4 linked regions of the Saccharomyces cerevisiae S288C genome follow. The gene in region 2 interacts genetically with the main gene of each other region. Each region holds a gene or a part of one and is shown on either strand. Other genes may lie near its edges.

What was found.
Region 1: mutations in DRE2 (region 2) and GRX3 impair growth when combined (synthetic growth defect), as found in Saccharomyces cerevisiae (one study listed by BioGRID).
Region 3: of DRE2 (region 2) and AFT2, changing one suppresses a phenotype caused by changing the other (phenotypic suppression), as found in Saccharomyces cerevisiae (one study listed by BioGRID).
Region 4: of DRE2 (region 2) and NBP35, extra expression of one rescues a mutant of the other (dosage rescue), as found in Saccharomyces cerevisiae (one study listed by BioGRID).

What each region holds. Positions count from the first base shown.
Region 1 is NC_001136.10:643,678-647,610, forward strand, and holds GRX3 (monothiol glutaredoxin GRX3), read right to left. Parts: upstream 1,254-3,933; coding exon 501-1,253; downstream 1-500. Other genes in the region: mismatch repair ATPase MSH6, read right to left, coding at 1-160.
Region 2 is NC_001143.9:573,934-578,443, forward strand, and holds DRE2 (electron carrier DRE2), read right to left. Parts: upstream 2,048-4,510; coding exon 1,001-2,047; downstream 1-1,000. Other genes in the region: YKR070W (uncharacterized protein), read left to right, coding at 1-699; phosphopantothenoylcysteine decarboxylase complex subunit SIS2, read right to left, coding at 2,502-4,190; YKR073C (uncharacterized protein), read right to left, coding at 4,254-4,510. UniProt on the Saccharomyces cerevisiae protein: Component of the cytosolic iron-sulfur (Fe-S) protein assembly (CIA) machinery required for the maturation of extramitochondrial Fe-S proteins.
Region 3 is NC_001148.4:167,588-171,490, forward strand, and holds AFT2 (Aft2p), read right to left. Parts: upstream 1,752-3,903; coding exon 501-1,751; downstream 1-500. Other genes in the region: YIG1 (Yig1p), read right to left, coding at 2,183-3,568; CSM4 (Csm4p), read left to right, coding at 3,897-3,903. UniProt on the Saccharomyces cerevisiae protein: Transcription factor required for iron homeostasis and resistance to oxidative stress. With AFT1, activates the gene expression in response to low-iron conditions, also called iron regulon.
Region 4 is NC_001139.9:341,073-345,132, reverse strand, and holds NBP35 (Fe-S cluster-binding ATPase), read left to right. Parts: upstream 1-2,090; coding exon 2,091-3,077; downstream 3,078-4,060. Other genes in the region: MF(ALPHA)2 (Mf(Alpha)2p), read left to right, coding at 1-342; LIF1 (Lif1p), read right to left, coding at 549-1,814; nucleocytoplasmic transporter NUP145, read right to left, coding at 3,274-4,060. UniProt on the Saccharomyces cerevisiae protein: Component of the cytosolic iron-sulfur (Fe/S) protein assembly (CIA) machinery. Required for maturation of extramitochondrial Fe-S proteins.

The sequences.
Region 1 (3,933 bases), on a different chromosome or scaffold from region 2:
TCGCTGGAGTAGGCTTCTGGACCTTCTTTGACGGTGTGCCAGAAGGTACCTGTTTTGAGAAAAAAGATAACAAACTCGATTGCTTCATTTTCTTTTGAGAAGATGTGGAGCCATTTTCGAAGTGTGCAGTCTTAGAAGTTTTAGGGGTAGCTGGGGCCATTTTGGAGTTCAAATTGGCTTTGTCAAAATTAACTAGTTGCTCCAATTAAAAAATCTTATCTGTTAGCAAAGAAGGCTCCAAGGAAAAGCTCTTATTAGTTTCAACAGATGTAATTTCAAATATTTTCTCTATATGGCGATGACCTATACATGAATTTATGAAAAAGTGAGACGCGTATCAGCTACTGCTCACGCGTTTATTTTCTCCGGGCAATGGTTGTTCAAAAAGCCAAACTTAACCAGAAGCCATTCATTATGTCACACATATAAAAATGCTTGCATACCATTAGTTGGAAATGGAGACTTTTCTGTTTCAATTTACACTAAATACATCTATTTATTTAAGATTGGAGAGCATGCTGCAAAAAATCAGGGTCTTCCTCCAAGGATTCCTTGATAATGTCTAAACCGCCTTGAAACTCCCCATTTATATAAAGTTGAGGGAAAGTTGGCCATTCAGAAAACTTTTTCAAGTTTTGTCTAACAGATTCGTCTCTTAATATATCAAAGAAGCCAAATCTTACTTGATGTTCTCTCAAGATACCCACAAGTTGTCTCGAAAACCCGCATTTAGGTTCAGAGGGGCTCCCCTTCATAAATAACATTACCGGCGCGGCATTGACCAATTTAGTCAATCTAGCGTTTATTTGCTCCTCAGTTTCTTCTTCCTCTTCTTCGTCGTCATCGTCTTCATCATTATGACTCCCCTCATTTACGTTTGCATTTTCCATAGTATGAGTTTGTGATGATCCGGAATTGACTGAGTTCTTGCAGTCTTCTAATAAAGACACATACTCCTTTGGATCCGCGCCGGATAATTCTTTTAAGATTGTCCCTTTGTGAATTATGATAAAATATGGAACAGCTGAGATTTCAAAAAGTTCTGAAATTTCCGAGTTTTCGTCCGCATCAATGGATAAGAAAGAGACGTTGGAATTGGAAGGCTCATTACTAATGGCCTCAAAAACCTGCTTTAATGCTTTGCATGGTTCTGCCCAACTGGTATGGAAATAAAGCACGATTAACTTGTCGCCGGCCGCAGTGGTAGTTAGGTAAGTAAATTGCTCTTGATCGTTAATTTCAATAACAGGCATTTCCTGAAAAAGTTTTGCTGCTGTGTAATATCTTGCTTGGTGGCGTTTATAACAGTACGAGGTGTAGTTAAAAGAAAATGCAGATGGAACCTGAAAAGAACACATTTAGTCTTTGAAATATATTTTAATGACCTCTTAGTTTGGCATCTCATGACCCGGCACACATTCTCTGAAAAAAAAAAAAAGTAACTGATGGTTCAACAGAGAAGCCACAGTTAAAAAAGGTCCTACCCGGATTCGAACCGGGGTTGTCCGGATCAAAACCGAAAGTGATAACCACTACACTATAGGACCGTAACAACTGTGTATTGTTGTATTACGGGCTCGAGTAATACCGCAGTGTCTTGACAATCCTAATATAAACAGTCTTAGGGAAGTAACCAGTTGTCAAAACAGTTTATCAGATTAATTCACGGAATGTCACTTATCTTATATATTATATAAAATATGAATCATACTAAGTGGTGGAAGCGCGGAATCTCGGATCTAAACTAATTGTTCAAGCATTTATACGTTTGGGTAGTTCAGCTAGGGAAGGCCGTGTTTTATCTCATGTTGTTCGTTTTGTTATTGAGATATATGTGGGTAATTAGATAATTGTTGGGATTCCATTGTTGATAAAGGCTATAATATTAGGTATACAGAATATACTAGAAGTTCTCCTCGAGGATTTAGGAATCCATAAAAGGGAATCTGCAATTCTACACAATTCTATAAATATTATTATCATCGTTTTATATGTTAATATTCATTGATCCTATTACATTATCAATCCTTGCGTTTCAGCTTCCACTAATTTAGATGACTATTTCTCATCATTTGCGTCATCTTCTAACACCGTATATGATAATATACTAGTAACGTAAATACTAGTTAGTAGATGATAGTTGATTTTTATTCCAACATACCACCCATAATGTAATAGATCTAATGAATCCATTTGTTTGTTAATAGTTTAAATGTTTTTATCGGAAGAGGTTTTGTCATCACATCAGCAATGTTCTTCTTGGTCTCGATGTAGTATACGTATAAATTATTACCTGATACTTCATCTCTAAGTCTCATTGCCTTTGTGCCAAAAAATCTGTTTCTAAATTTCTCTTCATTTGTAGACTTAATTATACTGATCGTTGATCTACTATCAGTAAGTGAGCCTTTAATAATTGGTTTCTTGTTAAGTTCTTGCACAAGGTGACTGAGGTTATTCAATAGCGGAATAGCTTCACTGACTGCGTGTATTTCTGCTTCTGTAGTTGAAGTGCATGTTAACGAAGCCTTTGTCGACTTTCCTCCAATCACTTTTCCGTTGAGTAGGAAAATGTTACCAATTTGTGACTTGTAATATGGTTGGTTACCATATGAAGCATCGCTTATTGCGACTAGTTTATTATCTGGCTTGGTAGGTTTGTTTTTGTGCCATATTAATTGTTTATCTCTAGTGTCCCACATGAATTGTATTAACTCATATGTCATGTCTAAAACTTGCCTAGAGGGGAATAGTATATGTTGAGCAAGTGTGTTGATGTAGTATAGTAAGTCAAATCTAAATTTATATCCAACATATGAAGCTAGACCAATCAACTTTTGCATTTCATGCACTTTCTCTTTGTATTCATCTTCATCTATTTCTAGTTCATCCTGGTCTATATAATGACCTGGTTGACCTGGAGCTCTAAGTTTCTTTCCTTTTGGGTTCAAAGGTACGTTTAGTTTGGGTAATTTTTCTGTCAAGGATTTTTCCATACCTAATTTCATGTACTTGCTTCTTTGATATTTGATCTCTAATCCAAGTATGTCGTACTGAATTTCGTTATCACCTTCACCCAGATTTATTATCTTTGTATCGTATTGTTTCTTGAGTGTTGTTATGATTTTCTTATTTGCATTTAAGTCTTTGCTGAACAATATCATATCATCAACGAATAAGCAAATTGTTACTTGACTATTCTTAAATACGCATGACCATCCACGAACTTCTTCCATACCACACTGTTTTATCAGGTATGATTTGATAGTTTCGTACCAGTTCGCTCCACTTTGTTTCAATCCATAAAGTGATTTCTTCAAACGTATCAACTTATCATTCATTCCTAAATGTGGTGGAGGTCTTATGTATAATTCTTCTTTGATGTCTGCATACAAATATGCCGAAGATATGTCTAATTGTGTAATATAGTAGTTATTGTCTAATGCAAGTGACAGGGATGTCATTAATGCATAGTGATGTACGGTATTGGATTGCATGCCTGAGTCGTAAGTGTCAGGATGCTGAATATCACCTCTTGCAACAAATCTAGCTTTATGAGTACCGTCACGTTTCCTGTTGAAGATAAACATTGAATTTATTACTCTTTTAGGGTCTATTTCTTTTCTGTCATAATATTTGTCAGTGTCCCAAGTATTCATTTTCAATAGTTGGTTGACTTCTTTGTGGTATGCTTCGATATATTTTTCCTTTTCTTTAATATCTTTATTATAGGTGATTGCCTCATCGTATCTTAAGGTTGTCCGTATTGGTTTGATTGATTTTACTGCTTTTACAGCTGCAATCAGGTGAATTCGTTTCTTCGATCTCGGAGGTTCTAAACTACGCATATTCTTAGTATTCCATGTGTCTCGTGATACCTTAATTTCAGTTTCATTATCTTCTAATGATCTTTTCTTACTGTTGATAGTAGTA
Region 2 (4,510 bases):
GATATTGTAAGATACAATAGGGACATTGCACCATTTAGTGGGCTATCTGATGAACAAGTGATGGAGTACTCAAGGGATATTCCAGATTTAACCACTAAGAAATTCGATGCCGTCTTGGTATTTAACGATCCTCATGATTGGGCTGCCGATATACAAATCATCTCAGATGCAATCAACAGCGAAAATGGGATGTTAAATACCTTGAGAAACGAAAAGAGTGGCAAACCTTCCATCCCCATTTACTTTTCGAACCAGGATTTACTGTGGGCCAATCCTTATAAATTGAATAGATTTGGACAAGGTGCCTTCCGCTTACTAGTTAGAAGGCTTTATCTCGAGTTAAATGGTGAACCCTTGCAAGATTATACTTTGGGTAAGCCTACAAAGTTGACTTATGATTTCGCTCATCATGTTCTCATTGATTGGGAAAAAAGACTAAGCGGGAAAATAGGCCAATCTGTGAAGCAAAAACTGCCACTCTTAGGCACGAAACCTTCAACTTCTCCATTCCATGCGGTTTTTATGGTAGGTGATAATCCTGCAAGTGACATCATTGGAGCTCAAAATTACGGTTGGAACAGTTGTTTGGTGAAGACAGGTGTGTATAACGAAGGTGATGACTTAAAGGAATGTAAGCCTACCTTGATCGTGAATGATGTATTTGATGCGGTTACTAAAACGTTAGAAAAGTACGCATGAAAGACTACTATGGAATATCTTTTCCTGCCTTTGAGCTGTACTGTTATGATAGATTTATTAATAGCTTAAACGCTTTTACAAAATATATGCAATATACATAACGGGTTAAATAATGGGTTGGGAAATTGGTAATCACGGTATAATGAGTACCTGTTTTCTTCTATTTAAAAAAATAAAAACTACCAACTCTTTTTGGTAAAATTAGTAACCTACCAAAGTCAATCGATCAATGCATCTAAAAAAATTCACCTTCACCAAAGTAGACCAATTGACGTCATTTACTGAAACGAATGTGCAGGGTTTACAAGTCATCTGAAATGCTGTCCAAATTGATAGGTTGACCAGGCTTGAAAGCAGGAAGACCCAAGTAGGGACAACCACTACATCTAAAGGCATCCCCTAGAGAACAAGAACCACAGCCGCCAACTTTCTTCCCATCGATAGTGAAATCAATCTCGGTCAACTCGTCTTCTGTAAATTTGACAACTTTATCTTGTTGAGATCTTATATCGTTTATTTCATTTTCTTCCTGTTCTTTCATACCACAGGTGCAATCTTTACAAGCCTTCTTCTTCTTAGTTTTGGATTTACCGCATGTAATCATAGTAATCATTGACTTACCAGAACCATCCTCGTCGATTAATTCTTCTTCTTCAATGGAATCATCGCTGGTATCCACTTGATCAAAATATTGGGCTTTGGAAGAGTCACTAGAGAAATCATCATCATCGCTATCCTCAATCAGGTCGTCTACGACTCGGTAGACTTTTGGTTCAGTGGTCATTTTGAAACTAGGTGGTTTGAAGCTGTCTGTTTCCTTAACTATAGGTTGCCTACTGTGATCTGCTTTTTTGAATGAGGGTAAATTAGAGGTTGAAGAACTAGCTTTTTTAAAAGTTGGTAGCTTACTACCACTCTGTAGCTTAGTATTGTTCGTTTTCTTTTTTTTCAGTGGTATAGAAACAGTTTGGTTTAGTTTAGAGGAATCCATTTTAATCCAGCAATAATCTGGTTCGTTAATTATTTCAAACCCATTGATTAATGCATCTACTTTATAAATATCACTTAAACCAATTAGTGAGCCGTTTGGTTTCAATGAGTCAGCTAAGACAGAAATTAACTTTTTCGGAAACTTAATATCAGTCTGGGCTTCTGGCGTCAAATAGTGTACTGTTTCATATTTTGCGTTTTCCAAAGTTATGGACCCATCATTTAGTTTATTGATTAAAAACTGGTCCACGAACTTGACTTTCTTTGATGCAGCTTGAGCCTTAGTGTTCTCTACTAGCTCTGGCGTTGTAGTCACCGCCGGATGTATTAAAAGTAAACCAGTTTTGTATTGTGACATCGATACCTTCACTTACAGTGTATATGCTTAGATCAAATGTGATGAAAGACTTCTGCTTAGAATACCTTTTTAATATGTCATGAAATTAAATGATTACTAATCATTTCTTTTTTTTATTTTTTTTTTCCAGAAGCTTTTGAATAGTATCGGACTTATTCCGGTACCGGGATATGTCAAAAAAAGAAAAATGAGAAACGAATAGATATTTACCCAGAAAGTAATGAATGTATTTAATGAATTACTGAATTATTAAAATTAGTAATAAATAGCGGTTTATATGAAGAGCTCTATGTACGCTAGTATGGCATTACATACCTACTGCAAGTAAAAAAGGAAAAAAATTTGTGACATTTTGTAAATATGCTGCGTGAATTTGCCTAATGAGTATTTTTCCAGAAATTACAAAACACAAATAAGTAGAATGTGTTTAGTGTATTTGTAATTCATAGACTATTTATTGATGCTTATCTATTATACCTGGGGTTTCTGCTTCGTCCTCGTCCTCGTCATCATCGTCGTCGTCGTCGTCGTCGTCGTCGTCGTCGTCGTCGTCATCGTCGTCATCGTCATCATCATCGTTGTTGTTTTCGTTCTTATCTTCTGTATCTTCTTCTTCGTCGTCGTCTTCTTCCTCATCCTCATCATCGTCCTCTTCCTCGTTATTTTTTGGGTACCCACCCAATTTCATAACGATTTTGTTAACAATCTCATTCCAGTCCATCATACCCCCGAGACCAATATCACCATTTATATCCATAACTTTCTCAGACGGCTTGAAAACAGTGACCCAGGACATTTCCTCCTTTATCGTTTGTAGTTGCTTCTTTGTCATCATAGAATTAAAAGTGCTACTCACCATAGAAGGTGCCAAAAGAATGGGATAACTCGGATTCCAAGCTCTAATGACACTTGTCAGAAGATTGTCGCACAGGCCCAAAGCAATTTTTGATAATGTGTTTGCAGTTAATGGAGCTACTACCAGTATATCCGCCCAGCGACGTAGTTCTATATGAAGTACAGGATCAGTTCGTTGTTTCCATGCGTCCCATTCATCTTGGTCGGTCCATAGTTGAATATGTGGGGGTAACTCGACTACTTGAGCCATGTTGCATTGTCCTGGTGTTGGTGTCACTGGAGTTGCCGGAGTGGATTCGTACTGCGACATTTTATTTAGTTTTTCTGAAGATTTGATAATTTTCTTGGTATATCTTTGTTCGAAAAACTGTGTTGCTGATTGAGTGAGGATAACTTGAATGCTTATTCTATCACGTCCATATATTTCTTCTAGTTTTTTAATCATTGGCTTGATCTTAAATACCGATAACGAACCTGTAGCGCCAAACAACACGTGCAATTTTCCATCATCTTGAGGTAGTCTGGGATCCAAATTCTTGGAGTTCTCTCTTTTGGGGATGATGGAAGGAATGACGGACTGCTTCACTGGCGTTTCTTCCGGGGTAGAACGCACATTAATTTGGCCTGAAACATTGTTAGCTTGATCTTGTGCATCTTCCTTTCGAAGTGTAATACTGGTGGGGGCTTTGGCGGTTACCTTATTATTTTCTCTACTTATTGGCGTTGAAGTGGCCATGATTTTGTCAGGCTTCATGGTATCAACTATTTTAAGAGCACTGTCTTTTTTCTTAGGATCATAATCTTTCATTTCGTTGACGAGTGGAGACCCAGATAATTGCGTTGTTCTTGAAGTGTTGGTGTGGTTCGGTATAACTGCATGATTGCCAGGAATGGAATTTGAGACAGGAGCAGGATTACTATTTGGAGACTTGGTCCTTTCTGAGTCGTTCTTCAGCTGAGTCAGACTATCCTGCTTTTGCTGTTGCTTTAGATCACTGAAAGTGACGGCGGGGACTCTCTTCAAACCAGGCTCCGGAGTATTACTTACTACTGCGCCGGAGGTGCCGGTGGCATTCATAATAGATTTCGTAGTCGTGGTAGTAGCATTCGACAAAGTAGGGCTTATTGATTGCCTCCCTGACACGGGGGAGTTGATTATTGAATCCTTCCCCTTCGCATCCTCATGGTCCAACAAAATCTCTTTCTGTCCACGCGAAAACCTTGGACACTCTATAGACTGGTTATGGTCAGCATCTTGCTTCCCGCTAGTAGAGGCGACGGCAGTCATTGCTGTTTGCTTCTAGATCTTTCTTCCCTATTAATTTTTTCCTAACTAATATTTCTTTATATTTTATCCCGGAATATAAAGTAGTATGACAGCAAAGAAGGCCAGGCTAAAAAAAGATCTCTCCAAATGTAACTGGACGGCGCTGATAAGTGGACAAGTACAAGTGAGGGATCGTGATCCAAGAGCACTCTGTGACTTCTTCTCCTCTAATATCACCTCCCCAGAAAAGCATCGATGCCATTTTTTGCAAGAGAAAAAGTTGCGTGCGTCACTGCCCACGAGCACATGGGGTGAGTTATATAACATAAGAATATTGCTTT
Region 3 (3,903 bases), on a different chromosome or scaffold from region 2:
TGCCCTAAATATCTTCTATACTACAATTCATTTTAATTCAATATCATATTTAAGTTGAGGGCATTTAGATCTTAGAGATTCATCTAAAAATAGGAGGGGTGATGTATAGAAAATGTTCGAATATCATTCCTCTGCTTTTTTCTATATGATTATTTCCTATATGAGCTTTTACTTACTGATCTCATGATCTCAGTGCAAAAATTAGGGGACCGGCACGCCTGAAAGTTTTTTAGATAATTGAATGTTGCGGTGCATTACCTATGAAAAGATGAAGCGCACGTGAACCATATTATAATCAACAAACTTGAAGAATAAAACTTTTGAGCGCATGAAGCCATGATATATCTTATTTGTATCGACATGCTTTAAGTCCTCCGTAGCTTTAAAAAGTCTAAGGTCCAAAATCCCTCGATGGTGCTGATATCACCATTATTCATGTCCATCAGATCTTGTCACATATTTAAACGTGATACCGTTTTAATGAGTTGAAAACTAAATAATTAATATTTTGATATTAAGGCTGGGTCAATAGAATTTAATTCATTAAAATGCTCATCGTTGAAATGAAGCAACGCTTCGTAGTTGTAGTTTAACATGCCAAAATTTTCGTTTCTCTCTTTGCCTAAGTTCGTAGCAATATCTGTATCAGCAGTTGGTGCGTTGCTTTTGGTATCTTTGGAAACTTTAATGATCTCATCTCCATAAGGAGCGTCTGTTTCCATAAAATTTGGTGAAGATGTTGTTGATTCTGACAGGGCTATATCCATTTTGCTTTGTGACAAGGGCCTCGTTGGTGTTGAAGGAAGTATACAAGAAGAGGACGAAGGACCTGGTGTAGGTTCTGTCAAAAGTTCCATCAGGCCTTGGTTGTAATTTTGGATGAAATTGTCGTTGCAAAACATGTTCGTAAAATCAATTTCGTTTAAGTTCGTTAAAGAATCTTCTTTCTCTATCTTTACACAGGAATTCCGCGTTTTGAAATTGTCTAAAAATCCGGTATCATGTAGATCCGCATCCAACTTCGTTTTCAACCTTGGCCTAGGTTTCGAATTATCCATCTGTCTGGATTTTATTTTAGAAACGGAGTTTTTATTTGTTTTGAGCAAATTTTTTTTAGACGTCAAAGGGGGGTTTGATAGTGGGAGAAAAATGTTATTGAAAGCTTCAATTTCCTTGGTTAACCCACAGTCACAAGAAATAATTGGTGTGACGAGTGGTAAGTTTAGACTTGCTTTATATTCTAATTCATCAAATGTTTTGATGGCTTTTTCGTCGTTCTTCTGACGAAGATTTTCCTTAAACTTTTTATAGTCATCCGTTTTAGTAATCAAATCAAATCTCAGCTCATGTGAATGTATGTTATTCATAACAACCACGTTCCACTTCTGTAACCGCACAGAGTAGGCTGCTCTAATTCTAAATGGACATGCATGGGATCTTGAAGAGGAACCTTTGGATTTAGGGTTCAACCCTACTTTCGATCGTACTGACCTACACTTAAAAGTAACTTTGCTACTATCTGATCTTTCGATGACTATATCTATTCCTTGAGGATAGAATATTTTCTGTAGCCACGGTTTAATCTCGTGCCTGTCCTCAAAAGACGGAACTGGGTCTAAATGAATAAGTTTATTTTGGTCTTTAGACATCATAGATGCTAGATTATCGGGAGATGCTGTTAACTTCATTTTCCCTGTTTTAGACACTGATATTGGCACAGATATTATGCTCTTCATCGACTTTGCTTTCATTTCTTGGGGGTCGCTTTCTCTTGATTAATTTGCGCCAGAGTTTCTGGTCACTACAACAAATTTTTTGAATGAGTCGTGTTCACTATTATGTATAGGTCCATCAGTTTAATTTGCACAGTTTTTGCCTTAATCAAAAGAAAATCAATTCTGACTAAAAGAAAGCCACTTTACCGATCTCGGCCCACGAAACGATTTTTTTTTTTACGGTGCTTTTTTCTTTCTTTTTTTTGTTCTTTCTATTTTTTCCCTTTGCTTTTCGCACAATACCGCTTACCGTCAATCGAATAATGAATGGCTCTGGTATCGTTCAATAAAATGAGAAACGTGCTTCCAGTTCAAAACCAAACAGCTCAGACAGGTTAAAGTGAAGAAGTTGAGATATATACAAATTAATGTCACTGTTATTTTTTTTATTTACATTTCCTTAACCTTTATTTAAGAAGAATTGTTTGAATGTTATTGTCATCAGTAAGAATTGTCAGCACTGGGCTATTTACAGAGGGACAGTTACCAACAAAGAGATCTTTGACACTCCTTATACCGTATTTGGCCCTAATGTCTGAGTAGCCCACGAACAGCCACCGTTTGAAAGATATAGAGTACTTGTATACCGATAACGCTGTTCCGTAGAGATGTTGCTCGGTTATAAAAATATACTTCCCATTGTTTGCTATCTGACGTCCTGTTCCTGAAGCATGGACATGAAGTTCTTGTGTCTTGTAAAATATTGGATAAACCTCGCTGTCTGAGACGGGTGGAGAAGAATTTGAATTCTCTATGGGGTCTCTTGTTGGAATGGACAGATATCTCATGTTGGTTTCGAGTAAAATGTGATTCGTTTTAAGAAGATAGTCGATCTTTTGAACGTCTTCGTCTATTTTAAGCATAAAGTTTATTTCCTTGTTTAGCGTGGAAGCATCCGATCCTAATAGATTCTTGCAGTGGAAAATCATATCATTTCCTTTGTATAAAGTAAACTGAGGGAAATTTAAAACGGACTTGACATTTGTGGTCGTGCGTAGATCTACAGGCAAATCAATGTTGGTATGGAAACTTTGAAAACTTCCATTGCTTTGTTGGTGATCTAAAGAAGTTATTAGCAGCCCATCTTTCAAACTAAAAGAAACAACGAAATGTGGCAACAAACCTGCCCAGACATTTAATATAGATAGGTGGCTTTGATGAGAGGAAGTTGAAGGATCCTTCAAAAGCAAGTGATTGTTTACGTTTCCGTTCAAGTCGCAGTTTAGCTTTAACAACTTTCCATTCTGAAATCCAACTAAAATTTGAATGGTGTTTGAATTATAACCAAAATTGCAGTCCATACATATTATTGCGTCCGATAGCAGTAAATTCAACTGCCCGTAAAATTGCTGCTTAATAAAAATCAAATGTTGGCCGTTAAAGTCATACAGCAGTAATTTTTTGTCCTCTGCTTGATTAGAATAAAAAATCCAGTACTTGCTATTGAAATTTCTAAAACTTTTGAAACTTTGTAAATCGTGGGTAGTAAAATAGTTATTAATCCGTACAAATTCCAACCCACGGTTACTTCGAAAAACATCTTCAAGTTCCTTTTCTTCGTCACCATCATCGTCTTCTTCAGAATAGTTTCCAACATCTCCACCATCCTCTCCGACATTGCTAAAGGTAAGCTGGTCGATATGTTCCTTTATCGTATCTGGAAGCTGTGGGTAATCATTATTCACCGTGTAGTTGCCATACTTGCTCGCCCGTTCGTCAAATACGTTCTGATATCTCGTGTGGTAAAATTGCACCCCCTTCCCATCCTGGTATATTTGCATAGGTATACCCATGATTTCGTTATGATTATTTTCTTTCTTGAGGGTGTTTAGCAATACATTATTATCCTTGTGATTTCGCTTATACACATGTAGGATTTCCTCCTTATATATTACAAGTGTGTCACCATTTCCGGCCCACCAATAGCCGCCGACCTCCAAATTACCCCAAATAAAAAAAAAGAAAACTCCGGAAATGCGGGGTTGAGCTGCAATATAATAATAATATGGCAACTTTAGCCGCGCAATCGAAGATACAGTAAATATAGTAAAAACGTGTCTGCAAATGGCTACTTTCGATCCTTCTTCCCAAAAGGCAATATTGCAGAAGAAGAACTAGAAAATGATGG
Region 4 (4,060 bases), on a different chromosome or scaffold from region 2:
CTCACTTTTATTTTAGCGGCCGTTTCTGTCACTGCTAGTTCCGATGAAGATATCGCTCAGGTGCCAGCCGAGGCCATTATTGGATACTTGGATTTCGGAGGTGATCATGACATAGCTTTTTTACCATTCAGTAACGCTACCGCCAGTGGGCTATTGTTTATCAACACCACTATTGCTGAGGCGGCTGAAAAAGAGCAAAACACCACTTTGGCGAAAAGAGAGGCTGTTGCCGACGCTTGGCACTGGTTAAATTTGAGACCAGGCCAACCAATGTACAAGAGAGAGGCCAACGCTGATGCTTGGCACTGGTTGCAACTCAAGCCAGGCCAACCAATGTACTGAAAAATGACCCTAAACTACTTCTAAACCCTCTCGATTTCTTTCACGTTCATACAACACCTAGTTTTATTTATTTTCTTTTCAATCTGAGTAGTTGAGTTTTCGATCACTCACATAGAACTATTTTTTGCCATTTAAATAAAGTATTCTCTCAAATGATGCGATACTATAATACTCTTTGCCATATATTACATTCATTCATAAATAGGCTATGTTTCTATATCCGTTTCCGATTCTGTCTGCAAGCAAGGTTCCCTATCATTACCGGATTGTTCACTATGGTTGGAGCTCTTCTTTTCCCCTGCACTTGCATCAGTCTCAGATTCAGAACCAGAAATGTCTCCGTAATCTTCATCCGATCTTCCTGCTGATATTTGAATACCATTGTCTTCTAAAGACACTAAATGTTTTTGAACATCACTGCTACTATCAGATTCAAAACTTATTGATTGTGTGTCATCTCCAAAAGAGGTAATATCATCGTACTTTTCACTGAGTTTATCTTTAGCAGTAATAATTGGCCTTTTAGAAAGTCCGAAAAATTGAAAGTCATCAAAATCGTCGTCTTCCATTTTGATCACGGATTGATTAGATATTTTTCTATTAGCTCTCCTCCGACTTGTGTCTTTCAACTTCTTTTGTAAATTTTGAGGCTCTACTACCGTCTTTCTTCGTTTCATTCTTTTTCCTGGAGAGTTTAACTCAGAAATTGGCTTTTGCACTTCCGTATTAATAAGCGCAGAATCTAAAACATCATCGTCAGACAATTTGATATTATTTTGTCGCAGAATCTCATGAAGCTCTCTTATTTTCTTCTTCTTCTCATTCAACAAGGTTACCATCATTGCTCTGGTTCTTTCATCACGTGTTTCTAAAAGCTTATCCAATAGCTCCCTTTCCCGAGCCAGCTGTTCAACTCGATTTCTATTGCTAGAATCGCTCTCCTTTATATTCCGGTAAGAATCGTTAACACAACAGATATCTTTATAGAGTTTATCTGCCATTTCAAATAAATCAATCTCTCCCTTTTTGACTGGATGCAAGGTAAGTTCAGCGATTTTTCTTATGATCGCCGATGACTCCAACTCCATAACTACTTTCCATACCTCATCATCTTGCATTCTGCACGTCCATTTTGTGAATACGACTTTTTCGTCTAACGATGCAATGTACACTTTGTGACCAGTTAACATTTTGAGTAGTTCATACCACACATATTTCTTAGACTCTTCATCGATATTTTCTCCCGTAAAGATTCGCAAATCATTGATTCCAAAACTGCTTTTGGAAAAAATTCCTGTACCTTCACTTACCAACATTTTCTCTATTCTAAGCCCTGAAAGACTGTTCTCATCTAATGTTTCCAACATAGCGCCATCTTCAATCTGAATCTTACAGAGGCCACGCTCATCTTCTTCATTTTGTTCTTCATTAACCACAGGGATACAGCTAATGAACTCCGTCAGCTGGGACATAGCACCCTACATAAATAAGTCATCCAATGCACAATTCTCTCAGTTCTATGCATTGACACGTCGAAAACTGCCGTTCATCTTATTATTCTTTAATATGGCTTTTCAAAATACGCTTCCGGGTACTTTTTCGGATTCATTAATGGTGTAATTAGTAATGCGTAGAAATATTTTGTATATAATAATAAATAACATGTTTGTCCAACAACTCGTAGGCTAGGCTAAACGTGAAGTCTTTCTGTTTTTGAGAACAACAGTATACATAAGTGATATCCAAGAATGACTGAGATACTACCACATGTAAACGACGAAGTGCTACCAGCAGAGTATGAACTTAATCAGCCGGAACCAGAACACTGTCCTGGTCCAGAATCAGACATGGCAGGTAAGTCCGATGCTTGTGGTGGCTGCGCCAATAAAGAAATATGTGAAAGTCTTCCGAAAGGCCCTGATCCAGATATTCCATTGATCACAGATAACTTGTCAGGAATAGAACATAAAATATTGGTTTTATCAGGCAAAGGTGGCGTAGGCAAGTCGACATTTGCCGCAATGCTAAGTTGGGCACTTTCAGCTGACGAAGATTTACAAGTAGGTGCCATGGATTTAGATATATGTGGACCTTCTTTGCCACATATGTTAGGCTGCATTAAAGAAACCGTCCATGAATCGAACTCCGGTTGGACACCTGTCTATGTGACTGATAATTTAGCCACCATGTCTATTCAATATATGCTTCCAGAAGACGATTCCGCCATTATATGGAGGGGTTCAAAAAAGAATTTATTGATAAAAAAATTTTTAAAGGATGTTGATTGGGATAAACTCGATTACTTGGTAATCGACACACCGCCCGGAACATCTGATGAGCACATTTCAATAAACAAGTATATGAGAGAATCTGGCATAGATGGTGCCCTTGTGGTCACCACACCTCAGGAAGTAGCTTTATTAGATGTACGGAAAGAGATAGATTTCTGTAAGAAGGCTGGTATCAATATTCTTGGACTAGTGGAAAATATGAGCGGATTTGTATGTCCAAATTGCAAAGGAGAGTCCCAAATATTCAAGGCTACCACAGGTGGAGGTGAAGCACTTTGTAAGGAATTGGGCATCAAATTTTTGGGGTCTGTTCCGTTAGATCCGAGGATTGGCAAGAGTTGTGACATGGGTGAAAGTTTCCTGGATAACTATCCTGACAGCCCAGCTTCGAGTGCTGTACTTAACGTTGTGGAGGCTCTGCGAGATGCTGTGGGGGATGTATAGTATATTTTATCAAAAAGAATAAAAGGAAGTGCATTAGAGGTCAAATCGTTTTATAATATAAATATCATTACCTTTAAATCTTAGACCTACTGAAGAACACTTTTACCATATATAATGCTACTAATTACTCCAAAAGCGTTAGCTTCAGTCCATGTTTTACTATTTTTCTTTTTTTTAGAAATAAAAATAAAAAAACTTATATCTTATATGTACACTTCATTAAATCCTGGGCAAACTCACCCCTCAAGTATGCCTTTTCTGGCTGCCCTAGGGGGAGCTCAAGCAATTTGGCCTTCGAATCGCCTATTGAAGGATTGTTTTTCTCCAATATTTTTGATACAATCTCTTGGGACATAACATTACAACATGCGGCCACTTCACGACAGTGCTTATACTGATCATAAAATATCTTCATACCACTAATTAATGAATCGATAGTCTCCTGCGTTTCAACATTATCCAACACAAGCTTTAGATATACTTCAAATACGTTTATACTTACACTCCATTTGTCCCTCTCAGAGTCTGGAAATTCGTTAAGAATTTCCCTCAAAGTTTTCAGTTCATTATTCTGTACAGGATTGTTTGATAACAACAGCCTTGGTCCTAATGACGTAACAATAGCCATTTCTGCCAAATCATAAGACGAACCCAGGAGTAGATTTTGTACTTCAGAAAGGTAATTGCCTTCATATCTATCTTTCAAAGCTTGAGCATTGAATATCAATTGCGAAGGGATCTTTAATCTATTTAAAATGTGATCATTGGTAGAGGCTCTTAACAATGTTATTTCACGCATAACAAGCCTTTTTATGGTATCTTCTGCTGCCTTGTCATCATTTAAAAAGCAAGAAACAAAAAGAGAGTGGCCATGTAATTGTGCAAATTCAAGTTGAGCGGCAAATGCGAATGTAGCCTCATCGCTAGTTTCCTTCGAAAAAACGCGTGTTCCATTAAATCTCAATGTTTGAATCAAGTACCAG